2 linked regions of the Oryctolagus cuniculus genome follow. The protein of the gene in region 1 binds, or shares a complex with, the protein of each later gene. Links are inferred from orthologs where the notes say so. Each region holds a gene or a part of one and is shown in the gene's direction. Other genes may lie near its edges.

What was found. Proteins that work in one complex are often made in the same cells at the same time.
Region 2: CDK2AP2 (region 1) and MTA3 share a complex: the UniProt entries of both Homo sapiens proteins name them as parts of the nucleosome remodeling and deacetylase (NuRD) repressor complex. The link is inferred for Oryctolagus cuniculus from reciprocal best matches to the Homo sapiens genes CDK2AP2 and MTA3.

The regions. Positions count from the first base shown.
Region 1 is NC_091432.1:4,571,591-4,582,808, forward strand, and holds CDK2AP2 (cyclin-dependent kinase 2-associated protein 2), read left to right. Parts: upstream 1-5,965; 5' UTR 5,966-6,573; coding exon 6,574-6,655; intron 6,656-6,908; coding exon 6,909-7,009; intron 7,010-7,348; coding exon 7,349-7,481; intron 7,482-8,173; coding exon 8,174-8,241; 3' UTR 8,242-9,641; intron 9,642-9,888; exon of another isoform or gene 9,889-9,973; coding exon of another isoform or gene 9,974-10,010; intron 10,011-10,604; downstream 10,605-11,218. Other genes in the region: PITPNM1 (membrane-associated phosphatidylinositol transfer protein 1), read left to right, coding at 9,974-10,010, 10,605-10,723. UniProt on the Homo sapiens protein: Acts as a component of the histone deacetylase NuRD complex which participates in the remodeling of chromatin.
Region 2 is NC_091433.1:159,917,611-159,928,263, reverse strand, and holds part of MTA3 (metastasis-associated protein MTA3), read left to right. Parts: intron 1-791; coding exon 792-866; intron 867-2,662; coding exon 2,663-2,721; intron 2,722-6,483; coding exon 6,484-6,608; intron 6,609-9,928; coding exon 9,929-10,080; intron 10,081-10,653. UniProt on the Homo sapiens protein: Acts as a component of the histone deacetylase NuRD complex which participates in the remodeling of chromatin.

The DNA.
Region 1 (11,218 bases):
ACTGCCCCAGCGCGGCGGTTGTGAATCTGCCGTAAACACGCACCTGCGAGGACGGGCGTTTTCAGATCAGCTGGGTCAACACCCGGCCGATCGCTGGCTCGCAGGATGAGGTCAGGCTGGGGCCTGGGAGAAGCCGTCACACTTCTCAGAGTGGCCGCGCCGTCCCAGGCCATCACTCCCGCACTTGCTGGCCGCTGGCAGGGTCAGGGTCCGGCTTTCAGTCGTTCCGATGCGTGTGCAGTGGCCTTTCCTGGTTGTGTAGCCATTCACTTTTCAACCTTTCTTTACAAAATTTGTCAAACATAAAATTGAAATGTACATGGGAGACCAGGAGAAGCACCTGGCTCCCGGCTTCGGATCAGCGTGGTGCGCCGGCCACGGCGGCCATTGGAGGGTGAACCAACGGCAAAGGAAGACCTTTCTCTCTGTCTCTCTCTCTCACTGTCCACTCTGCCTGTCAAAAAAAAAAAAAAAAAAAAAAAAGAAAGAAAAGAAAAAGAAAAAACTGAAATGTACAGAAATAGAATGTTACCCACTAATATAAAGCTTTTTTTTCCTTTACAAAAAAAAAAAAAAGAGATTTATTTATCTGTTTGAAAGGCAGAGTTACAGAGAGGCAGAGAGAGAGAGAGAGAGAGAGAGAGAGAGAGAGAGAGGTCTTCCATGTGCTGGTTCACTCCCGAGATGGCCTCAACGGCTGGAGCTGGGCCAGCCTGAAGCCAGGAGCCAGGAGCTTCTTCCAGGTCTCCCATGTGGGTGCAGGGGCCCAAGGACTTGGGCCATCTTCCACTGCTTTCCCAGGCCACAGCAGAGAGCGGATTGGAAGTGGAGCAGTGGGGACTCAAACTGGCGTCCATATGGGATGCCGGCACTGCAGGCGGCAGCTTTACCCGCTATGCCACAGCTCTGGCCCCTATAAAGCTTTTTTTTTTTTTTTTTTTTTTTTTTTTTTTTTTTTTTTTTTTTTACTTGAGAGGCAAAGTGACAGAGAGACAGGAGAGGTCTTCTATCTGCTGGTTCACTCCCCAAATGACCACAACAGCCAGGACTGGGCCAGGCAGAAGCCAGGGGCCTGGACTCCATCCGGGTTTCCTAAGTGGGTGGCAGGGGCCCAAGCACTAGCACCATCATCCGCTGCCTTCCCAGGTGCATTAGCAGGGAGCTGGCCCGGGACTTGAACCGGTGCCCATAGGGGATGGCAGTGGCGGCACTGGCGGGCTTTACCTGCCACACCACAGTGCCGGCCCTGAACCCCACTTTCAACTTCCGATTTGGAGGCTGTGACGTTGAGAGGCTCCAAATCCAGGGAGAGGGAGCCCCGACATGTCTCACCAGCAGGCAGGTGCCCTCCCCGGAACAGGCCATGGCGGTCACCTCCACCTGGCAGCCCTGTCTCCTCCTGCACAGCTCTCAGCTGCCGGGAGAGTATCCAGGAGTCTCAGGGCAGGACCCCCAGCACCCCCAGGCGTGTCCCTTTTGTGGCAGGGATGGACTGAGTGTGTCCCCCCAAAATCATATGCTCGGGACTGGCGCTATGGCGCAGTGGATTAGGCCACTGCTCGGGACGCCAGCATCCCAGGTGGGTGCCGGTTCATGTCCCACCACTCCACGTCCAATCCAGTTCCCTGCTAATGCCTGGGAAAGCAGCGCGAGATGGCCCCAAGTGCTTGGGCTCCTGCACACACAGAAGACCTGGAGGAAGCTCCTGGCTCCTGGCATCGGCCTGGCCCAGCCCCAGCCGTTGAGGCCATCTGAGGAGTGAACCAGCACATGGAAGATTCCCTCTCCTTTCTCTCTCTCTCTCTCTCTCTCTCTCTCTCTCTCTGCCTTTCAAAAAAATACATCATGGGCCAGTGCCATGGCTCATTTGGTTACTCCTCCACCTGTGGTGCCGGCATCCCATATGGGTGCCAGGTTCTGTCCTGGTTGCCCCTCTTCCAGGCCAGCTCTCTGCTGTGGCCAGGGAGTGCAGTGCAGGATGGCCCAAGTGCTTGGGCCCTGCACCCCATGGGAGACCAGGAGAAGCACCTGGCTCCTGGCTTCGGAATGGCGCAGCGCCGGCCATGGTGGCCACTTGGGGAGTGAACCAATGGAAGGAAGACCTTTCTCTCTATCTCTCTCTCTCTCTGTCTAACTCTGCCTGTCAAATAAAAAAAAAAAATCAAACAAAATACAATACATCATAACCACAAAATCCGCGTGCCCCAGCCCTAGCCCCACTGTGCTCCTGCACCGGAGCTGGGCCGGGTGAGACGCGCTGCGGGGGGCGGGGGCGCCTCTCTGAGGGGACGCGTGTCCTGGAAGACACCAGGAGCCCAGCGTCTCCCTGCACCAGCCAGGAAGCGAGCCTGCGCCGGAAACCAACACGCGGCCGCCCAGCCTCCAGCACCGAGAAAACAAATGTGTGTTTGAAGCCGCTCCGTCTGTTCTGTCCTGTCTGTGTGTCCGCACAGGCAGGCCAATGTCGCGGGCATGGGAGACCGGAGGGGGCGTGGCCTCAGGGCTTCTCTCCAGCCTCGCCCACTGCAGGCTTCCGCAGAGGGACTCCCGTGAGCAGGGGGCGTGGGGGAATTGGTGGACCCCTTGTCAACAGTATGAGAGTATGAATGCATTGGAAACTACAGAGAGTAGAGAGAACAGTTAAATGGACACTACTGTTATTTGGAAGGCACAGTTACAATAGAGAAGGAGACGGGGGGAGAGAGAGAGAGATAGAGAGAGACAGAGAGAGACAGAGGGAGGGAAAGGGAGAGAGAGAGAGGGAGGGGGAGAGGGAGGGAGAGGGGGGAGAGAGAGGGGAGGGAGGGAGGGAGGGAGGGAGGGGGAGAGGGAGAGGGAGGGAGGGAGGGAGAGGGAGAAGGAGGGGGAGAGGGAGAGGGAGAGGGAGAGGGAGAGGGAGGGAGAGGGGGAAGGAGGGGGAGAGGGAGAGGGAGAGAGAGAGGGAGAGGGAGAGAGAGAGAGAGAGAGGGAGAGGGAGGGAGAGGGAGGGAGGGAGGAGGGGGAGAGGGAGAGGGAGAGACAGAGAGAGATTGATCTTCCATCTGGTGGTTCACTCTCTAAATGGCCACAGTGGCCAGTGCTGGACCAGGCCGAAGTCAAGAGCCGGGAACTCCACCTGGATCTCCCACGTGGGTGCAGGGGCTCAAGCACTTGGGCCACTGGCTGCTGCCTGCCCAGCCCATTAGCCGGGAGCTGGATGGGAGGCAGAGCGGCCTAAACCCAAACTGGCCCTCGGATGTAGGCTGCTGGCTTCGTAGGCAGCGGCTTAACCTGCTCTGTCACCACCTTCTGTTTTTTGCCTTTTTTTTTTTTTTTTTTTTTTTTTGACAGGCAGAGTGGACAGTGAGAGAGAGAGAGAGACAGAAAGGTCTTCCTTTTGCCGTTGATTCACCCTCCAATGGCCGCCGCGGCTGGCGCACTGCGGCCGGCGCACCGCGCTGATCCGATGGCAGGAGCCAGGTGCTTCTCCTGGTCTCCCATGGGGTGCAGGGCCCAAGCACCTGGGCCATCCTCCACTGCCCTCCCTGGCCACAGCAGAGGGCTGGCCTGGAAGAGGGGCAACCGGGACAGAATCCGGCGCCCCAACCGGGACTAGAACCTGGTGTGCCGGCGCCGCTAGGCGGAGGATTAGCCTAGTGAGCCGCGGCGCCAGCCTGTTTTTTGCTTTTTATCGGAGGTTTTCCCAAAAGTGAGTTGAGGGGGTTGGGGCTGGTGTTGTGGTGTAGCAGGTGGAGCGGGCCTGCCGCACCACCAGCATCCCATCCTGTATGGGAGCCCCGGCTGCTCCACTTCCCATCCAGCTCCCTGCTGTGGCCTGGGAAAGCAGCAGTAGACGGCCAAGTCCTTGGGCCCCTGCACCCAAGAGGGAGAGCTGGAAAAAGCTCCTGGCTCCTGGCTTCAGTCTGCTCTAGTCCTGTCTGTTGTGGCCATCTGGGGGAGTAAGCCACCAGATGGTAGAAATCTCTTATGCTCTTGCTCTCCCTCTCCCTCTTCCTCTTTTAGGTGACTAAATAAAAATTAATTTTTTTATTTACTTGAGAGGTAGAGTTACAGAGAGAGAGAGAGAGAGAGAGAGGTCTTCCACTGCTGGTTCACTCCCCAGATGGCCACATTGGCCGGAGCTGCCCTTTTCTGCCAGTACTCCAGTGGCTTGAGCTCTCACACTTGCGGACCTCTGCCCCTGACAGTCCCTCTCCTGAGTGCCGCCTCGCAGCTCAGCTCCCACTGACGGGGTAGGCCTAGCAGTTAGCAGAAGCCCGATCCTGGATCTGAGTTCTTGGGATCAATTTCTGGCTCTGAATCCCAACTCCCAGGGAAGCCCTGGATGGCTCAAGTACCTGGGTCCCTGCCATCCCAACGAGGGACCTGGGCCGTCCCCGCTCCCAGCTTCAGCCCAGCCAAATCCCAGCCATGGTGGGCACTTGGGGCATGCGCCAGTGGGCAGGGCACTCGTCTGACTCTCTCTCTCTCTCTCTCTCTCTCTCTCTCCTCCCAAGATTTATTTGAGAGGTAGTTACAGACAGTGAGAGGGAGACAGAGAGAAAGGTCTTCCAGCTGGTGGTTCACTCCCCAGATGGCCTCAAGGGCCAGGGCTGGGCCAGGCAGAAGCCAGAAGCCTGGAACTCCATCTGGGTCACCCACGTGGGTGGCAGGGATCCAACACTTGGACCATCATCCACTGTCTCCCCAGGGACATTAGCAGGGAGCCGGACTGGAAACGCAGAGCAGGGGCTTGAACCAGCTCTCCCATGGGATGCTGGCATCACCGGCAGCTATGCCAACGCCAGCCTTTCTCTCTGCCTCTTGAACAATGAACTTTAAACATTTTTTTTTGGGGGGACAGGCAGAGTGGACAGTGAGAGAGAGACAGAGAGAAAGGTCTTCCTTCCATTGGTTCACCTTCCAATGGCCGCTGTGGCTGGTGCACCGTGCTGATCTGAAGCCAGGAGCCAGGTGCTTCTCCTGGTCTCCCATGGGGTGCAGGGCCCAAGCACTTGGGTCATCCTCCACTGCACTCCTGGGCCACAGCAGAGAGCTGGCCTGGAAGAGGGGCAACCAGGACAGAATCCGGCGCCCCGACCGGGATTAGAACCCGGGGTGCCGGCGCCGCAGGCGGAGTATTAGCCTAGTGAGCCACGGCGCTGGCCTACTTTAAACATTTTAAAGCGCCACCTGCGACGTCAGCAGATGGTCCCTCCCTCCACGTTCCAGTCTCCACTTTGACCCCCATCTTATTGCCTTGCAAGCCTCTGCTGTCTCCCAGAGGACCGAGGCCAGGCCCCGCCATTCTGGAACCTCCGTGCTGGCATGGCGGAAGGGAGTTAGGAAATGTTTGTTGGACAAATGAACGAATGAATGAATGCATGAATGACTACGTTCTGGGATGAAGCTCTACAGAGCGTGAGGGGCAGAGGCTGTCGGGAGAGCGCCCTCGGTGCCTGGGCGGGGGCGGCTCTGAGCGCCAGGGTCGTGGGGACTGGACGGGGGTGGGGTCTCCGCGGGGCAAGAGAGGCCCAAGTGGCAGGCATCACTTAGTCCGCACACCCACCCTGAGATGGCCACTCTCCCCATTTGACAGCTGGGGAAACTGAGGGACGCCGAGGCGTGCGCCTTGCCCGGGGTGGGGGGAAGATCACCAGGGCATGGGGGCGGTGCTGAGGTTCCAACACGGGGGACCCCAGCCGGGGCTCGCGTCCATGACCCGTGTGGCCCAGCGCGGCACCCAGCAAGCACTCCCACCGACTGTGCAGACGCCGCCGCGGGCCGGAGCTGGGCTCCAGGGTCTCGGAGGCCGCGGGCGGCTCTAGCTCCGCCCCGAACCCGAGTGCCAGCCAATCCAGAGCCGGAGCACCGGGGGCGGGCGTGGCCGGCGCCCGTTGCCATGGCAACAAGCGGAGGCCGCGGGCGCGCGCGTGCGCAGACCGTGGAGCGGGTGTTGAACCGGCGAAAGGTGACGTAAAAGCGCGCGGGGTGGAGCGCGGGGCTCGGGACGTCGAAGCCCTGCGTCCTCCGGCACCCGGAGCGCAGGGAGGGCGCGCGAGGCGGCGGCGGCGGCGGCGGCCCCAGCCCCAGCCGGACCGGGCCCGGGAGGCGCGGAGCCGACGAGCGAAGCAGCGCCGAGCGCACCGCGCGGCCGGCGCCCCGCCTGGGCCAGGCCCGCTCGGCGCGAACCGCGACGGTCCGGACCCTGGCCCGGGCTCCCGAGGCCCCGCCCTCCTCGGGCCTCGGGACTAATCGGATTGAGAGCGCGCCGGCTCGGGCCGCGAACTCGCCAATTGCGGAGGGCGGCGGCCACCGCCCAATCCGGAGCAGACAGGTGCGAGGTCCGGAAGACGGCGGCCAATCGGCGGCCGTTGCGGCCTGCGGGGGCGGGGCCCGGCCGGTAAGGAGGCTCGAGTGACGTCTCCGCGCGCCAATCGGGAGTGAGGAGCGGCCGTGCCCGCCCGCCCTTCCGGCCGGAGCGCTCTTTACCAGGGGCGTGCAGCCCGCCTGCCAATCAGAGCGCGGCTGGGCGCCCGGCAGCCAACCCCGGAGGAGCGGCCGGCCGGCGTCCGCCGCACCCAGGAGCCGGGGATGTCCTACAAGCCCATCGCCCCCGCCCCCAGCAGTACCCCTGGCTCCAGCACGCCTGGGCCGGGCACGCCGGTCCCCACAGGTGAGGCTCCAGCTGCAGCCCTGCCCGCCTGCCTGGGCGACCGAGGTCCGCGGCGCTGGGCCCGCTGCCTCCCCGCGCGGGGCCTCAGTTTGCTGGCCCGTGGAGTGGGCGTGCCCACGTAGGGCGCGTGGGTGGGGTCCGTGCCCGAAGTTGGTGCGCGTGGAAGGAAGCATCCTCCCGCGGGTCTGGGGCTTGGACAGCTGGGGGGCGGCGTCCCCGCCCGCGCTGACCTCTGCCCCGCGCCTGGTTGCAGCCGGAAGTGTCCCGTCCCCGTCGGGCTCGGTGCCGGGAGCCGCTGCCCCTTTCAGACCGCTGTTTAACGACTTCGGACCGCCGTCCATGGGCTACGTGCAGGTGGGTGGCCAGGGGCTTGGGGGGGCCCGCGCTTACTGCCCTGGGTCGCCTTTTTTTTTTTTTTTTTTTTTAATTCGAGAGGCAGACAGAACAGTGAGCGCCCATCTACGGGGTCACTCCCCAGCTGCCCGCAGCCGCCAGGTGTGCCCGGCTGAAGTCGAGCTGGGGACTCGAGGCAGGCCTCCCCGCTGCATGGCAGGGACCCGGCTGCTTGCCTGCACCTGCCGCCTCTCGGGGAGGGGGCGTCTGCGGCAGGGGGCTGCACGCGAACCCAGCCTGAGTGGGACGTGGGCATCTCAGCCAGGCCAAATGTCCGGCCCCTCTCGTCTCCTGCGCTAGGCGATGAAGCCCCCCGGCGCCCAGGGCTCGCAGAGCACCTACACGGACCTGCTGTCGGTGATCGAAGAGATGGGGAAGGAGATCCGGCCCACCTACGCGGGCAGCAAGAGCGCCATGGAGCGGCTGAAGCGAGGTGAGCGAGCCGAGCGAGCCCGGCCCCTGATGTGTGAGGCAGAGAGGCCGGGGCTGGACCAGGGCTGGGGGCACCACCAGACAGAGCCAGCCCCTCTTCCACCTGTGCCCTGGGGGGGGCGGAGACCCTGCCTGTCACCTCCCGGTCCCCAACCCCGCCCCTGGGCTGTGGAGACCCTGCCTGTCACCTCCCCGTCCCCACCCCCGCCCCGCCCTGGGGCTGTGGAGACCCTGCCTGTCACCTCCCTGTCCTCACCCCCGCCCCTGGGCTGTGGAGACCCTGCCTGTCACCTCCCTGTCCTCACCCCCACCCAGGGGCTGGACCAGGGCTGGGGGCACCACCCAGACAGCCAGCCCCTCTTCCACCTGTGCCCTGGGGGGGGCGGAGACCCTGCCTGTCACCTCCCCGTCCACACCCCCCACCCCGCCCCGGGGCTGGACCAGGGCGTCACCACCCAGACAGAGCCAGCCCCTCTTGCACCTGTGCCCTGGGGGGGGGCGGAGACCCTGCCTGTCACCTCCCCGTCCCCACCCCCGGCCCCGGGGCTGTGGAGACCCTGCCTGTCACCTCCCCGTCCCCACCCCCGGCCCCGGGGCTGTGGAGACCCTGCCTGTCACCTCCCCGTCCCCACCCCCCCGCCCCGGGCTGTGGAGACCCTGCCTGTCACCTCCCCGTCCCCACCCCCCCGCCAGGCATCATCCACGCCCGGGCCCTGGTCAGAGAGTGCCTGGCGGAGACAGAGCGGAACGCCCGCACGTAACGGACCTCTCCGGCCACTGCAGCGCGCCTGCTTCTCCCTGGCCCTCGCCCCGAGCTGCACTTCCGGCCTGGGCTTCCTTCCGGGTCCCACGGTGGGTGCCCGCCAGGGCCCCTGGGTGGCTCTCGCTGCAGCCGGCAGCGGGCAGCACTGCCCCGGGCCCCTTCCCCTGCGGGAGCAGCACGGCCACTGGGAGCGCCTCCCGCCACGACCGGCCCCCAGCGAGGAACCCACTGCCGATTCTCGCACCCAGCTTTTCTCCTTGCCCCCGGCCGCCGCCTCCCCCGAAGGCCTGGCGCCTCCCGCCTTGTCTCCCGGGCCGTAGCCACTCTTTTTCTTGGTGTGTCTTTTGCTAACTATGCCCTTTTTATAAAAATAAAAGATGATTTGGAGTTGTTCTCTCAGCGCCGAGCCGGTCTGGGTCTGGGTCGGGGTCGGGGTCGGGGTGGGTCGGGCTGGGAGAGGGGCAGAGCAGGTGCGGGGAGCGGGGAGGCCGCCCGGACCCGGGCCCTCTGCCCTCGCCCCGGGCTTGGCGGACCCCGCTGACCTTCGCGTGCCACCACCAGGGGGCAGCGCAGGGCCTTGGCCGCCTCCACGCTGGAGGCGCGGGCCCTGCCGAGCCTGGAGGGCGCTTCCTGGGGCGGGGGAAACCGCGCCCTTACCTGCGTGAGCGCCCGGCCCTGGAGGGCTCCGAACCAGGACCCCGCCCGAGACGGACACAGGTGTGGGGGAGGGCACGCCACTGCTGCTCCCTCCCCCAGCACCCGGGCAGGGCTCCAGGGGAGATTCCAGCGTCGGGAGACCCGGCCCATCCCTGCGCTGACACTGCCCCGGGGTCTAAGGGCAGACCTTGGGACACGCTCAGCGGCTAGCCCAAGGCCCTGGGGTGGCAGCAGTGGCAGAGTGACCGTAGGCCTGGGGCCCCGGTACCCCAGCTGCGGTGGAGGCGAGTCCGGAGCCACCGGCTTCCGCCCAGACCCTGGCCCGCGTTCCCGGGAAGCAGAGCGAGGAGCCGGCCTTGCCAGGCTCCGCCCCTCGTGGCCCCCCGGGAGGGCGGGGCGCACCAAAGGAACCCAGGGTCTCAGGGGACTCGGAGCCGCACCGGAAAGAACCGGCACTCGGGGAAAGGCCTCTGTCCCGCGGCCTGCCCTCCGCCGCCCAGGGCGGGGCTGCGCGGACCCCGCCGGCCGGGCCCAGGAAGGGGGCGGGGCGGCGGCGGTGACGCGGCGGGGAGGGGCAGCAGGGGCGCGGGCGGGCGGGCCGGCCGGGAGAAAGGTCGGGGCCATGGGCCCGCGCTGCACCTCCAGAGGGGCCGGCCTCCGCTGGAACCCGAGGCCGGGGCTGGGGGCGCTCCGGGCTCTGGCCCGCAGGCCGGCCGCCCCCGCATGAGCCCTAAACTGGAGGTAAGCGGTTGGCTGGCGAGCCAAGGCGCAGCAGGGGACGGGGACGCCTGGGCGCAGGGGGAAGTGGGGACAGCCGGGCCTCTCGCCCGCTCGCTGGCGGGGGGGATGGAGGTGGAGGTGGCGGCGAGGGTGGGGGGCGGGGTGCCCGCGGCAGAACCTTGGTGCCTGGTTAGGTCGCAGGTGGGCGGAGCGGTCTCCTGGGGCCGGAGCCCGCGCGATCCCTAGTGGAGCACCCTGGCTTCAGTCCTAGGGGGTCAGCCCTGGGGGAGGAGGATGGACCAGGACAGAGCGCGGGGCGGGGGTCCTGGAGGGATGCTGGCCGGGGGGAGTACATGATTGGCTGCCTGCCGGGCTGTCCGGTTTTGGCAGGTGGGTTCGGGTGCGGCGCGCGGCGGCGGGGGGGGGGGGGCAGTGTCAGAGATGCTGGGGCGCACGGGCGCGCTCTGGCGAGGGCCAGAGGCAAGGTTTCGGTGGACGTCCGGCAGCGGGGGGACGCGGGACCGGACAGACCTGGGAGAGGGGTCCAGGGGGCGGGTCCCCGGGGGGCTGGTCTTGGAGGGCGGGCCCGGAAGGAGGGGCTCGGGGGCTCCTAGGGGCGCGGCCCCGGAGGGATGCCGTTTCCAGGGCGCTAAGGACGAGGCCCCGGCGAGAGAGGGGAGACTGGCCGGACCCTTGCCCGCTGGCCCGTGCCCGCGGCTCCGAGGGGGGCCCGCGTCAGCGCGCGGTTGCCATGGCGACGGGCGGGCGGGGGGCGGGGGCTGCGCGGAAAGGAGGTCAGCGCCGAGCGGGGCTGCGGCTCCGGCCCCCGGCGGCGCGGGTGGCAGCGCTGGGCTCGCCTCCGCCTCGCCCGCGGCGGGCCCGGGCATGGGGTCCCGCAGCCCGAGCCCTCGGGCCGGCGCGCAGGGCTCGGGGCCGCGCGCCGCCGCCGCCCCGCACTGACGGCCGCGCCGTGCCCTGCGCCAGGCGGAGCGGAGGCCGCGCGCGGCCCGCCGGGCGCCGTCAGGATGCTCATCAAGGAGTACCACATCCTGCTGCCCATGAGCCTGGACGAATACCAGGTGGCCCAGCTGTACATGATTCAGGTGAGGGCGAAGGGGAGGCGCGCCGCGGGGGGCGGGATAGGCCGGGGGCGGGAGGGGGGAGAGGCCGGCCCGACCCCGGCCAGAGAGGTGCGGGGCCTGAAAGGGGCTGGGGCCCCGGGGAGCAGAGGCCCCTGCTCCGGTGCGGGAGGGGCTGGGGTAAGGGCTTCGGGCAAAGGGGCAGGGAGGCCGAGGGGCGCCCCCACCCGCAGTGCCCACCCCACTCCGCCCACGTCTGATCCCCTGTAATCCTCCAAGCTGTAGTCCCCTGGGGAGGCAGCAAGGAAGGGGGGGGCCGGTGGGGACGGGGTCTAGAGCACCAAGCCCCACAGCTGGGACAGGCGCGCGCCGCAGGGACCCCAGGCTGAGGGAGGGGTCAGCACTTAGTTGGAGAAGAGTGGGCCTGGGCAGTTCCAGATCTGCCCCCCAGAACGGGGGGGTCAGAGACCAGAGGTTCTCGGGGTTGAATGGGCCAGGTTTGGCCTCCAGAGCCCTAGA
Region 2 (10,653 bases), on another chromosome or scaffold:
AAAATAGTTAACCTTCTCTAAAATCCATTTTTTCTCTTCAGGCCAAACAGGTGAGTTGATGGGGCAGGTGATAGGCATGGCATGGATGTTGCTTACGTGGGTCACAAGCAGAGCCCTGACTGCAAGCTTAGTGGAAGGCAGAGGGCTGATTCACCCTGCGTACAGTCGGCTGCTGAGGCTTAAGGCTGTGTTGTCAATCATTCAGATCATCATAGTGCTTCTTGGATTACTGAACTTTTTCTATGGTTATGAGTTTCAAGACAAGAATCTCACGTGGCTGTTTCTGAATGCTTAACGAAAGCAGCAAAGGCAAGCTTCCCATTTTTCTAATAGGAAGCACACTTGGCTGTGTTCGTTATCAGAGATTTAGGCTTTTATTCTCTTTACAACAGAATAGGTCAAAATAGAATAGACTTGGAAAAGATGAGAAAAATATACCAGAGACCAAATGTCACCCAATTGTAGCTGGCATTTTTGGAGGTGAAAGTAACTCAGGCTGAAGCTATTTAAATATCATTTCTAAAATTGTGCTGCAGCCTTACCTGTAGCGCAAGAACTTTTCTAAGTAAGTTAAGAAATATTGTCAGTCATAAGGATCATGATTTTTAATAAAATGGGAAGTGAGAAATGGAAAGTGTTGTATTAGAGTCTCTTATTGAATGTAACTTTTTTGGGGTATCTTGATAAGAATTAGTTCGTTTTCTCAAATGCCGCTTCTAGAAGGAATCTTTCAAAGGGATACTTGTTTTATTATTTGAATTTTCATTATATTGTTGAATTTTTTTTTTCAGCTGCCTTGGAAATCATTGACTAGCATCATTGAATATTATTACATGTGGAAAACTACTGACAGATACGTGCAACAGGTGATTTTTTTCATGTTGCTACTCGTATGATACCATTACTGTGAACTTTCTATTTCTATTTTAATATTTCTTAGCAGTGTAGTAATTTTAAATGTTTTGTTTGCTTTATCTTTGACCATTTTGAAGCTACCTGATTTCATATTTTTAAAATATTTTTAAAATCATCATCTTAATATTTCCTTGACTTCAGCATTCATTGTGACAGATAGTTTGGGAAGATGACAGGGAAGGATAGCTCTAGAGAGGCATCATTCCCCTTGCAAACGACACGTGCTTTATCCCTCTGTGAGTGTTGCTGATGAGAAGTACCAAAGGTGTGACAGCAGCACAAGCTTCTTGAACAAGTTATTTTTAATAAAGATTTGAACACTTACAGCATTGCCATCAGACATATAATTTGAGATAAAAGATCCTCTAACTATCTTTCATGACGCTGGTGTGATTATATCCCCTAAGTCTTTGACCTTAACTGTTGTAGTGTTACTAGTCTGATGTTTTAGTAATGTACATAAGATTGTTCTCAAATTTTCTCTACAAGTGGAGAATGATTTAATATTTGAGTCCTTCCCGAATGTCCTAAATTCATGCAACTATCTCAGTTAATTACTTTGAATAGTATTGCCTTTGGGGAGAAGTACAGTTTCTGAAATGACATTAGCCAATGCTTGTTTTACATTCTTACCTTGCTCATGTGCCAGAACTCATTAAGTCAGAGACAGATATTTTAACAGAGACATTTTTTCGGAGTATGCAGGTTACCCAGTGTCAAATAATGGATGCTATAAAAATACATTTTAAGGATTACTTTTAAAAAGTACCATAATGAGTTTTTGAGGTTATAAATAGTGAATAGATGGCCTTGGCTTGTTGAGTCATTTCCAGAGTCAACATCATACAGAATTCAAAAGCATGATTGTTTCAAACTACTTACATAGAAATGAAGACCTTGGAGTCTGGAAACCTGTGTTACTCAAATCAACAAGCAACCATAAATGTGATGGAGATGATGGCCTCCTTGACAATATTTGTGAATTGTCAATACTTGACAGCTTGAATGACAATATGTCCAAAAATGTCATTGCAGGTTGTCCCCCTAAATGTTTTTGTTTCCTACTCTTTGGAAAAATGGAAGACAGCCTTATATTGTAGTTTGTGTTACTTTTGGACATTAACTGTGTTTTGCATTTGCTATTGCATTGCTCAGTGTCTGGATTTTATTATATAATCTCCTTCCCATTCCTTTTCCTGCGTTTAGTTCCTAATTGATACCAGTAAAAACTTAAATGAGTTCAGCCAAGATTTAAAGTTTACTGTAAATCTCCCAACATTTGAGAGTAGATGCTTATTTAATTCTGCTTAGAATAACTGCAAGCTCTTTTCTCCTACTTGGATTTTGGGAAATAATCATCTCTGAATATTCTTCTAAAAGTGAAGATTATATGTTATTTTCCTCCCAGAAAGGCAAGTAAGAAATAAAATAGAAGTTAAATTTGAAAAGTAAAAATGTTACTTTAAAAGTCCTGCTTATTCACTACTGGAGGAATGAGGAATTGAGGTGTTCATTGTGCTATTTTTAAAATCTGTGTCTAAAATGTTAATACTTCAGTTCCGTCTCAGAACTCAGTGACTTTTCTTACTGCAGTTGAAGAATATGCATATGAAAGAAAGCTTTTCTTGAAATAGCAATTTTTGAATTATGCCTTAATGTTTCTTTTCTTGTGTATTTTTAAAGACAATGAAGTGTTAATAATTATTTGGCATTACATATAAAACATTTTATCCATCTTTTGAAATAGAAACGTCTAAAAGCAGCAGAAGCTGAGAGTAAGCTGAAACAAGTGTATATCCCAACTTAGTAAGTAACAGAAATCTTAAAATATTTGTCATGATCTTCATAAAGCATGTCATTTTGTTCAGTGTCAGTCAAATTTGAATTTCTTTGTGTTCGTCATTTCTTCTATAAAGCATGTGACTTGTTTTGTATTACATTACTACAAAGATGTTTTTAGACAAAGGAGCAAGGGAGAGAAACTCCAAATAAACTAACGCAAGAACCACAGGGAGAATGCCACGAACTGTACTTCCATTCAGAGTTACAGGGAAAGTATCAGAAAACTAATCTATGAAAGTCTATATCATTTGAAGCAATGTGTTTAAGAAATCCAATGCTTTTGAAACCTTGCAGGGGTGGGAAGTCTTTTTCAACCAAGGGCCATTTGGATATTTGTAACAATATTCCAGAGCCATACAAAATGATAACTTGAAAACTGGCCTGCTACAGATATATTGAATTTTGAGTCTTGCCTGCAGTTGCCTTGGCAGGGCCAGACCAAATGATTTTGCTGGCTTTATACAGCCCCCAGGCTGGAATTTCCCCCCTCCTGAATGACAGAGTGGGTTTTGTTTGGATATCGTGTATTGCCCTTATGAGGTTTGTTGTTGACATGATTGAGGATTTTACATTGTTTTCTTTATTCTAATACTATAAATTTTGATAATTTCAGGTGTCTGGCATTCTTTTATTATCCTGTGGGTTTCGAAACCATTGTCATATCACAATAAACACCAGTTTCCATATTTTGTGTCTTAAATGAATTATGCTCAATTGAGGTCTTCAGGATTTGAACATTCATTATTCAAAAACATTAATTTATTGAGTACCATGAATATATTGCTATAGTGAGATTAAAATGAAATTTATTACAAGTTTCCATGTGCTTCTCCAAGATTTCCCATTCTTTGAGCTAAGTACAGTTTTTTATACCTAACCATTTGTTTGCTGTCTTTCATTGTTTGCTGTTTTTGTGGACAGGAGACCTCACTGGCAATGAATTGTGATTTTCATATTAATCTTTTACATCATACAAATAACTATTGTTTAATTTTTGAAGTATGTAATTTACAGAGTCCACCATTTGTATTTAGAACTGTAATGTTCCACCTGCAGAGTAATTTCTGATTTATTAAGAGCAACCTCTCCAGAAATAATGTTGCAACTTAGGTGTATTAGATTTTTCAAAAGCAAAAAGTCCAGCTTTCTTATACCTCACAGTGCTTGCACCACCAAAGGAAAAGTACACTTAACCAGGTTTAACCGGGTAATGCAGATCATTGTTCCTAGTCTGTTTTGAATTGACTTGGCAGTCTTGCTCCAGTCAGGGGCCTGCAAGCTATAGTCTGCAGACCAAATCTGACCTATTGCATGTTTTTGTAAGTAAAGTTCTATCGAAACACAGACATGGTCGTTCATTTATGTATTCTCTAACTCTGCTTTTATGCCACAATGGCAGAATTCAGTGCTTTTGACAGAAAACCTGAAATATTTACTATCTGCCCCTTACAGAAGAAGTTTTCCAAGCAAATGGTTTTGGGCATCAGGAATGGAAGAGTACTTCAGAAAGTGTATGGAAAATGGAATTAAAAGATGAGTTTATTTTTGTGCAAAAAATTTGAAGTTTATGCAGTTTTTAATAATGCATATTTTCCATGAACTTTTTAAAAATTAATTCATTTGAAAGGCAGAATTAGAGAGAGTGAGAGACACACAGAGAGAGGTCTTCCATCTATTGGTTCACTCCCCAAGTTTCTGTAAGGACCAGGTCAAAGTCAGGAGCCAGGAGCTTCATTGGGTCTCCCTTGTAGGTGCAGTGGTACAAGTACTTGGGCCATCTTCCACTGCTTTCCTAGGTACATTAGCAGGGAATTGGATCAGAAGTGAGGCAGCCAGGACTTGAGGGTAGCTTCATCTGCTATCCCCCAGTGCTGCCTTCCTCCCTCCCCCGCCCCCACCCCCTTCCCCTTGAATGTTTTAAGGACTTTGCATATGTGTCAGTGATCATCAGGAGGATAAACCAGAGAGATGAAGTGTATGAAGTTCTCAAGGGAACCAGCAGAATAGGATCTGGTGTACAGATGAGAGGGGGTTTGGGCACTAGATAAAATAAAAGGTGATTTCTTACGATGCATCCTTAAAAAGCATTTTTATATTTGTTTCACAAATTGCCCCAGTGAGACTGTTTGTCCTCTAGAACTAACCTGTGGGTCCTTGGTTTTACAGAGCATCTTCAGTGATGCACGTGTTCATACGCAGCATTGGTACACACTCCTTTTGTGATTATTAGCATCACTGCTTTATTCAGTCCAGTAGCATTCTAAAAAATTGGTATTTGCAGTCATTCTTTTTTTTCAGGCAATTCAATTGCAAATTTGCATGAGCTGTTCTTTTTTTTTTTTTTTAATATTTATTTATTTGAAAGTCCGAGTTACACAGAGGCGAGGCAGAGAGAGAGAGAGGTCTTCCATCCGATGGTTCACTCCCCAATTGGCCGCAACGGCTGGAGCTGTGCCGATCCGAAGCCAGGAGCCAAGAGCTTCTTCCAGGTCTCCCACATGGCTGCAGGGGCCCAAGGACTTGGGCCATCTTCTACTGCTTTTCCAGGCCTTAGCAGAGAGCTGGATGGGAAGTGGAGCAGCCAGGTCTCGAACTGGCGCCCATATGGGATGCTGGCGCTTCAGGCCAGGGTGTTAACCCGCTGCGCCACAGTGCTGGACCCTTCATGAGCTGCTTTCTACACATATATTTATCTTAAATGTCAGAAGTTTTCTCATTTCTGGGAATTCATAAGAGTGGACGTTTGGCCTAGTGATTAATACTCCAGTTAGGACACTGGCATCTCATGTTTGAGCTTGAGTCCTGGCTCTTCTCCCTATTTCAGCTTCCTGCTGATGCAGAGGCTGAGAGGCAGCAGGTGGATGGCTCAAGTAGTTGAATATTTGACACCCATGTCCAAGACCTGGTTTGGGATCCCGATCCTGACTTCAGCCTGTCCTATCCTTGGCCATTACAAGCATTTGAGAAGTGAAGCATAGATGGGAGCGCTGTCACTCTCTGTTTCTCTATAAAGAAGTAGATAGGTAGGTAGGTAGGTAGGTAGGTAGACTTGTTCTCTGGAAAGTTTGCCTATAGGCTTCTGATAGCTGTCTCTTTTTCCTCCTAAAAATATTTTTTTTTAAATGGTTTTTCTATTTTCAAGTACAATGTACTCTTCCTCATAAAAATTCAAACATATTAGAAATAATTATCCTGAGCATTCAGAAGCTCCTGGAATCCTAACTTAGCTCTGGAGATAAGCACCACTGGACAGTGCGGTGTCTCTGTTGCACCCGTCGCTTTTGTGCAGGTCCCTGGAGGGCAAGCGTGTAGACTCAGCAGCTCTCACACGAGCAGCAGGAATGGGACAGTGATAACAACAATGTTACCTTTAACCTAGGATTAATTTTGATCCAAAAAATTTGTTTTTCTCAGGAGAATTTATTCTAAGTGATGAAACTTAATAACGTGTCGTTCAAAAGCATCACAGGATGTTCTAAGGAAGCTATGTTGGTTGGAGAAGAGATATGGCCACATTTACTTTGTGAATATCAGCCATAAGAGATTCAGCTTTGTTTTGTCAAGATGAGTGCTTTAGATCCATTTTAACACCTTGTGTTAACACGAGGGTTTTTATCCTTCAGATGTTTTGGAGTTTATGTTAATGATGAATCAGTAATGAGATGTAGAGTTTTTTGCCTTGTTTAAAAAATCATTTTTATTACCTCACTGCACGTTTCATGGAAGCAGCAAACCAAATCCCAACCAAATATCCACCAGCAATGGCAAGCCCGGGCCTGTGAATGGAGCAGTGGGGAATACATTCCAGCCCCAGAATCCTCTCTTAGGGCGAGCCTGTGAGAGCTGCTTTGGTAAGTGTTTCCCCCCAGGATGTCCTTTCTTTTGGGGCCTGTAGGTGGGGCGGGAGCTTGCAGTCTGTGGTGCGCAGAGAGCAGCGAGCAGATGCCCTTCCTTACCTTCTGCCTGGACATAGGGCAGTCACTGAGTGCTTGCTAGGTGCACAGCCCAGCAAGGCCTCAAGGTTCCTGTGATTGCTTCTCCGGGCCCCTTCGTCTGTTGAGCTTCTGATGGCAGTATCTGCCAGCCTTTGTTCAGAGTTGTACTGGCTTCACCCAAATCATGGTTCGTGATACATACCAGATCCCCTCTGGGGCTTCTCGGTATACTTGGGAAAATGAAAGGCAACAGCTGAATCTGTAGGGAATACCTGTGTGGACAAACTGCTATGTATAACCCTCAGATCCAGTCCCTCCAGGCACTATGTTGGGAGACATTGTTTTGTGATAGTTGCTTCTGGCCCCAAGGCCCTGCGGTATTTATGCTGGCACAGATAGTATGATGTTATATTATGCTGCTTGCCTGGGTGTTAAGTGGGCTTGGACAGAATACTACATATTTGGTAGTTGATACAACTTTATACATTTATTTAATATCTTAAGCAACAGTATAATCTCTTGATGGGGACATTGGTGACATTATAATTTCTTTTTCTTTCTAATCATGGTGGCTGGGGTAAGAAAGGAAAGGAAATGAATGTTATTGAATGTTCACTTGGTGTAGCTGGGGAGTCTGAGCAGCTCTCTGGGAGGGTAGAAGTAGCCTACTGCCTTAAAGATGGAGGCATGAGGGACATTTGTGACCCCGCCGCATACTCTGCTTTAGAGAAGGCAGTGACAGCCAAGTCGTGTAATCAGTCATCTCTCAGACCCCAAGCAAAATGTGAACCAGACAGATTGCTGGCTTCCTAGGTAGGAATGGCGCATGTAGGGATGGTCTGCACTGTAGGGACAAGGAGGGAAGCAATCTGTGGACAGCTAGAGTCTTTTGGTCAAAACTTTACATAGATAGCAATGTCAGCATCTTGGACTTGAGAATGCTCAGATTTTGAAGTTCATGTATGTTTAAATGAAATAAAAAGAATTCTACTGGCAAATGATAGTGACTTAATCTTTTATTTTTTATTATTATTATTATTTTTTTATTTAACAGGTGGAGTTATAGACAGTGAGAGAGAGAGACAGAGAGAAAGGTCTTCCTTCTGTTGGTTCACAACCCAAATGGCCGCTACGGCCGGCACTGCACCAATCCGAAGCCAGGAGCCAGGTGCTTCTTCCTGGTGTCCCATGTGGGTGCAGGGGCCCAAGCACTTGGGCCATCCTCCACTGCCCTCTCGGGCCACAGCAGAGAGCTGGACTGGATAGGAGCAACCAAGACTAGAACCCGAAACCCATATGTGATGCCGGTGCCACAGGTGGGGGATTAGCCAAGTGAGCCAGCCACGGCGCCGGCCCCTGTTTGTTTGTTTATTAAAGATTTATTTATTTATTTGAAAGTTAGAGTTACACAGAAAGAGAGCTTTTCCACCCGATGGTTCAATCCCCAAATGGCCACAACGGCTGGAGCTGCGGTGATCCAAAGCCAGGGGCCCAAGGACCTGGGCCATCCTCCACTGCCTTCCCGGGCCACAGCAGAGAGCTGGACTGGAAGAGGAGCAACCGGGACAGAATCCAGCACCCCAACCAGGACTAGAACTCTGGGTAGCAGCGCCGTAGGCAGAGGATTAGCCTAGTGAGCCGCGGCGCCGTCCTGCAGTTGGCATCTTAATATACACAGTTTGAGCATTGTGATCTGAAGAAGATGACTTATTACAGATCAGAAAAGAATGTGCCAAGGCAGATTTATAGCACTAGAATCATTTTCCTGCTCCTCTTCGACCTAATGTTGAAACATCAATGTTTTCTGTCTTAAACTTCATATCCATCCTGGATATACAGGTTTCTTAAATGTTAACATGGCATAATTTAAATTGCAAGATAAAATTTACACAGACTTGCAGTGTTGTTCAGCCATGTGATAAGTCAACATGTTTGGGTCTTAAAATCATGTTGTGTGTACTCATTTGATACAGATTTATAGTTTTGAACAAGAATCTGTTTTTAGAAGGAGAAATCATAACATAAGGATTTTATCTATTGATTAAAATAAAGGGTTGGAAAACAGAGACCTGTTTCTGTTAGGTTCCTAACCTTCTTAGTGGGGCCTTTCTGAGTACCTTAAATAAACCCAAGCATGGTTTATGAACCGTAGGCTTATAAACTGTGACTTAGGTTTTAAGCACTAGTAATAAACACATTATCTTTCTGAGAACTTATTCCAGAAATGTACACCAAAAAATATTTGAATTAGTGAAACAAAAAAAACTCCCTCAGAGGCACAATGTAAAATATAGGATCCCTCACCTAATAGTCTCTCTCTCTCTCTCTCTCTCTCTCTAAGATTATTTTATTTATTTGAAAGACAGAGTTACAGAGAGAGGTTGAGACAGAGAGGGCTTCTACCCACTGGTTCACTCCCCTATTGGCTGCAACGGCCGGAGCTGCGCCGATCCAAACCCAGGAGCCAGGAACTTCTTCTGGAGCTCCCACGTGGGTGCAGGGGCCCAAGGATTTGGGCCATCGTCTGCTGCTTTCCCAGGGCACAGCAGAGAGCTGGAATAGAAGTGGAACAGCTGGGACTAGAGCCGGTGTCCATATGGGATGCCGGTGCTTCAGGCCAGGGTGTTAACCCGCTGCACCACAGCACCGGCCCCCCCCTTTTTTTTTTTTTTTTTAAGATTTATTTATTTATTTATTTGAAAGGCAGAGTTAAAGAGAGGCAAAAGCAGAGAGAGAGAGAGAGAGAGAGAGAGAGAGGTCTTTCACCTGCTGGTTCACTCCCCAAATGGCTGCAATGGCTAGAGCTAGGCTGGTCCGAAGCCAGGAGCCTGAATATTCCACATGGGTGCAGGGGCCCAAGGACTTGGGCCATCTTCTGCCGCTTTCCCAGGCGCATTCATAGGGAGCTGGATTGGAAGTGGAGCAGTCATGACTTGAACCGGTGCTGATACTTAGATACTGTACATACCCACTATGCCACAGCAGCGGCCCCTAATAGCCTCTCTTAATATGCGCCACAAGTGCTTGATTTATAATAAGGATAAATGATTTAATGAAAGATACATGTGTATGTGTTGTACTTTCATACTTGGCTTATAAGTTAGGGGAAGAAAAATAATCCTATAAACTGAAAATGGCTTTGGGATGTTTTTGAAATATTTGATTATATTTATACTGATGTTACAAATTACATGGCATCCTTTTTTTTTTTCCTCTTACTTTTCTCTCATCTGTAGCTACACAGTCTCACCAGTGGTATTCTTGGGGCCCACCTAACATGCAGTGTAGATTGTGTGCAACTTGTTGGCTTTATTGGAAAAAATATGGAGGCCTGAAAATGCCCACCCAGTCAGAAGAAGAGAAGCTATCTCCCAGCCCAACCTCAGAGGTACACGAGCAGCAGTGGGTTCTAGTGTTGAAAATGTCATGCTTTTCAGTGATCAGATCATTCCCTGGAAGCAGAAATAAAATACAGGATAATGTCATAATGAGCAAAGCTGTTTTCATAACTGAACATAGCACTACTATATTCAGGGTGGGTGTGGAAAGAAGAGCAGGAAAAAATAATTTTCTCCCCAGGGATTCAAAATAATGGTCTTGGGAGATTACTCAGACAAAAGAATACTGTATGTGGGAGGTGTCAACACAACCCGAGAGTTTACAAATTAAATGTTTATTTTAACTGCTTTTGAAAACAGTGTGTAATCTTTAGATACTATTAAGCATGTCTTATTACATAAAGTAATAAATGTAAATTAAGCATTTTCTTCCTCCCTGGTCTATTGTGGAGGGACAATAAGAAATGGACTCAGTTTATCAACAATAGTTGATGCATGACTTTATAAAATCCTTCTGGATTGAAGATGTTAAGCCTGTGTCTACCAGAGGGCACCTGTTGTTGTCCAATGCTCACAGAGTCTCAGCACTCCTTGATATTAGAAAACAAAACTAAGCAAGCCTC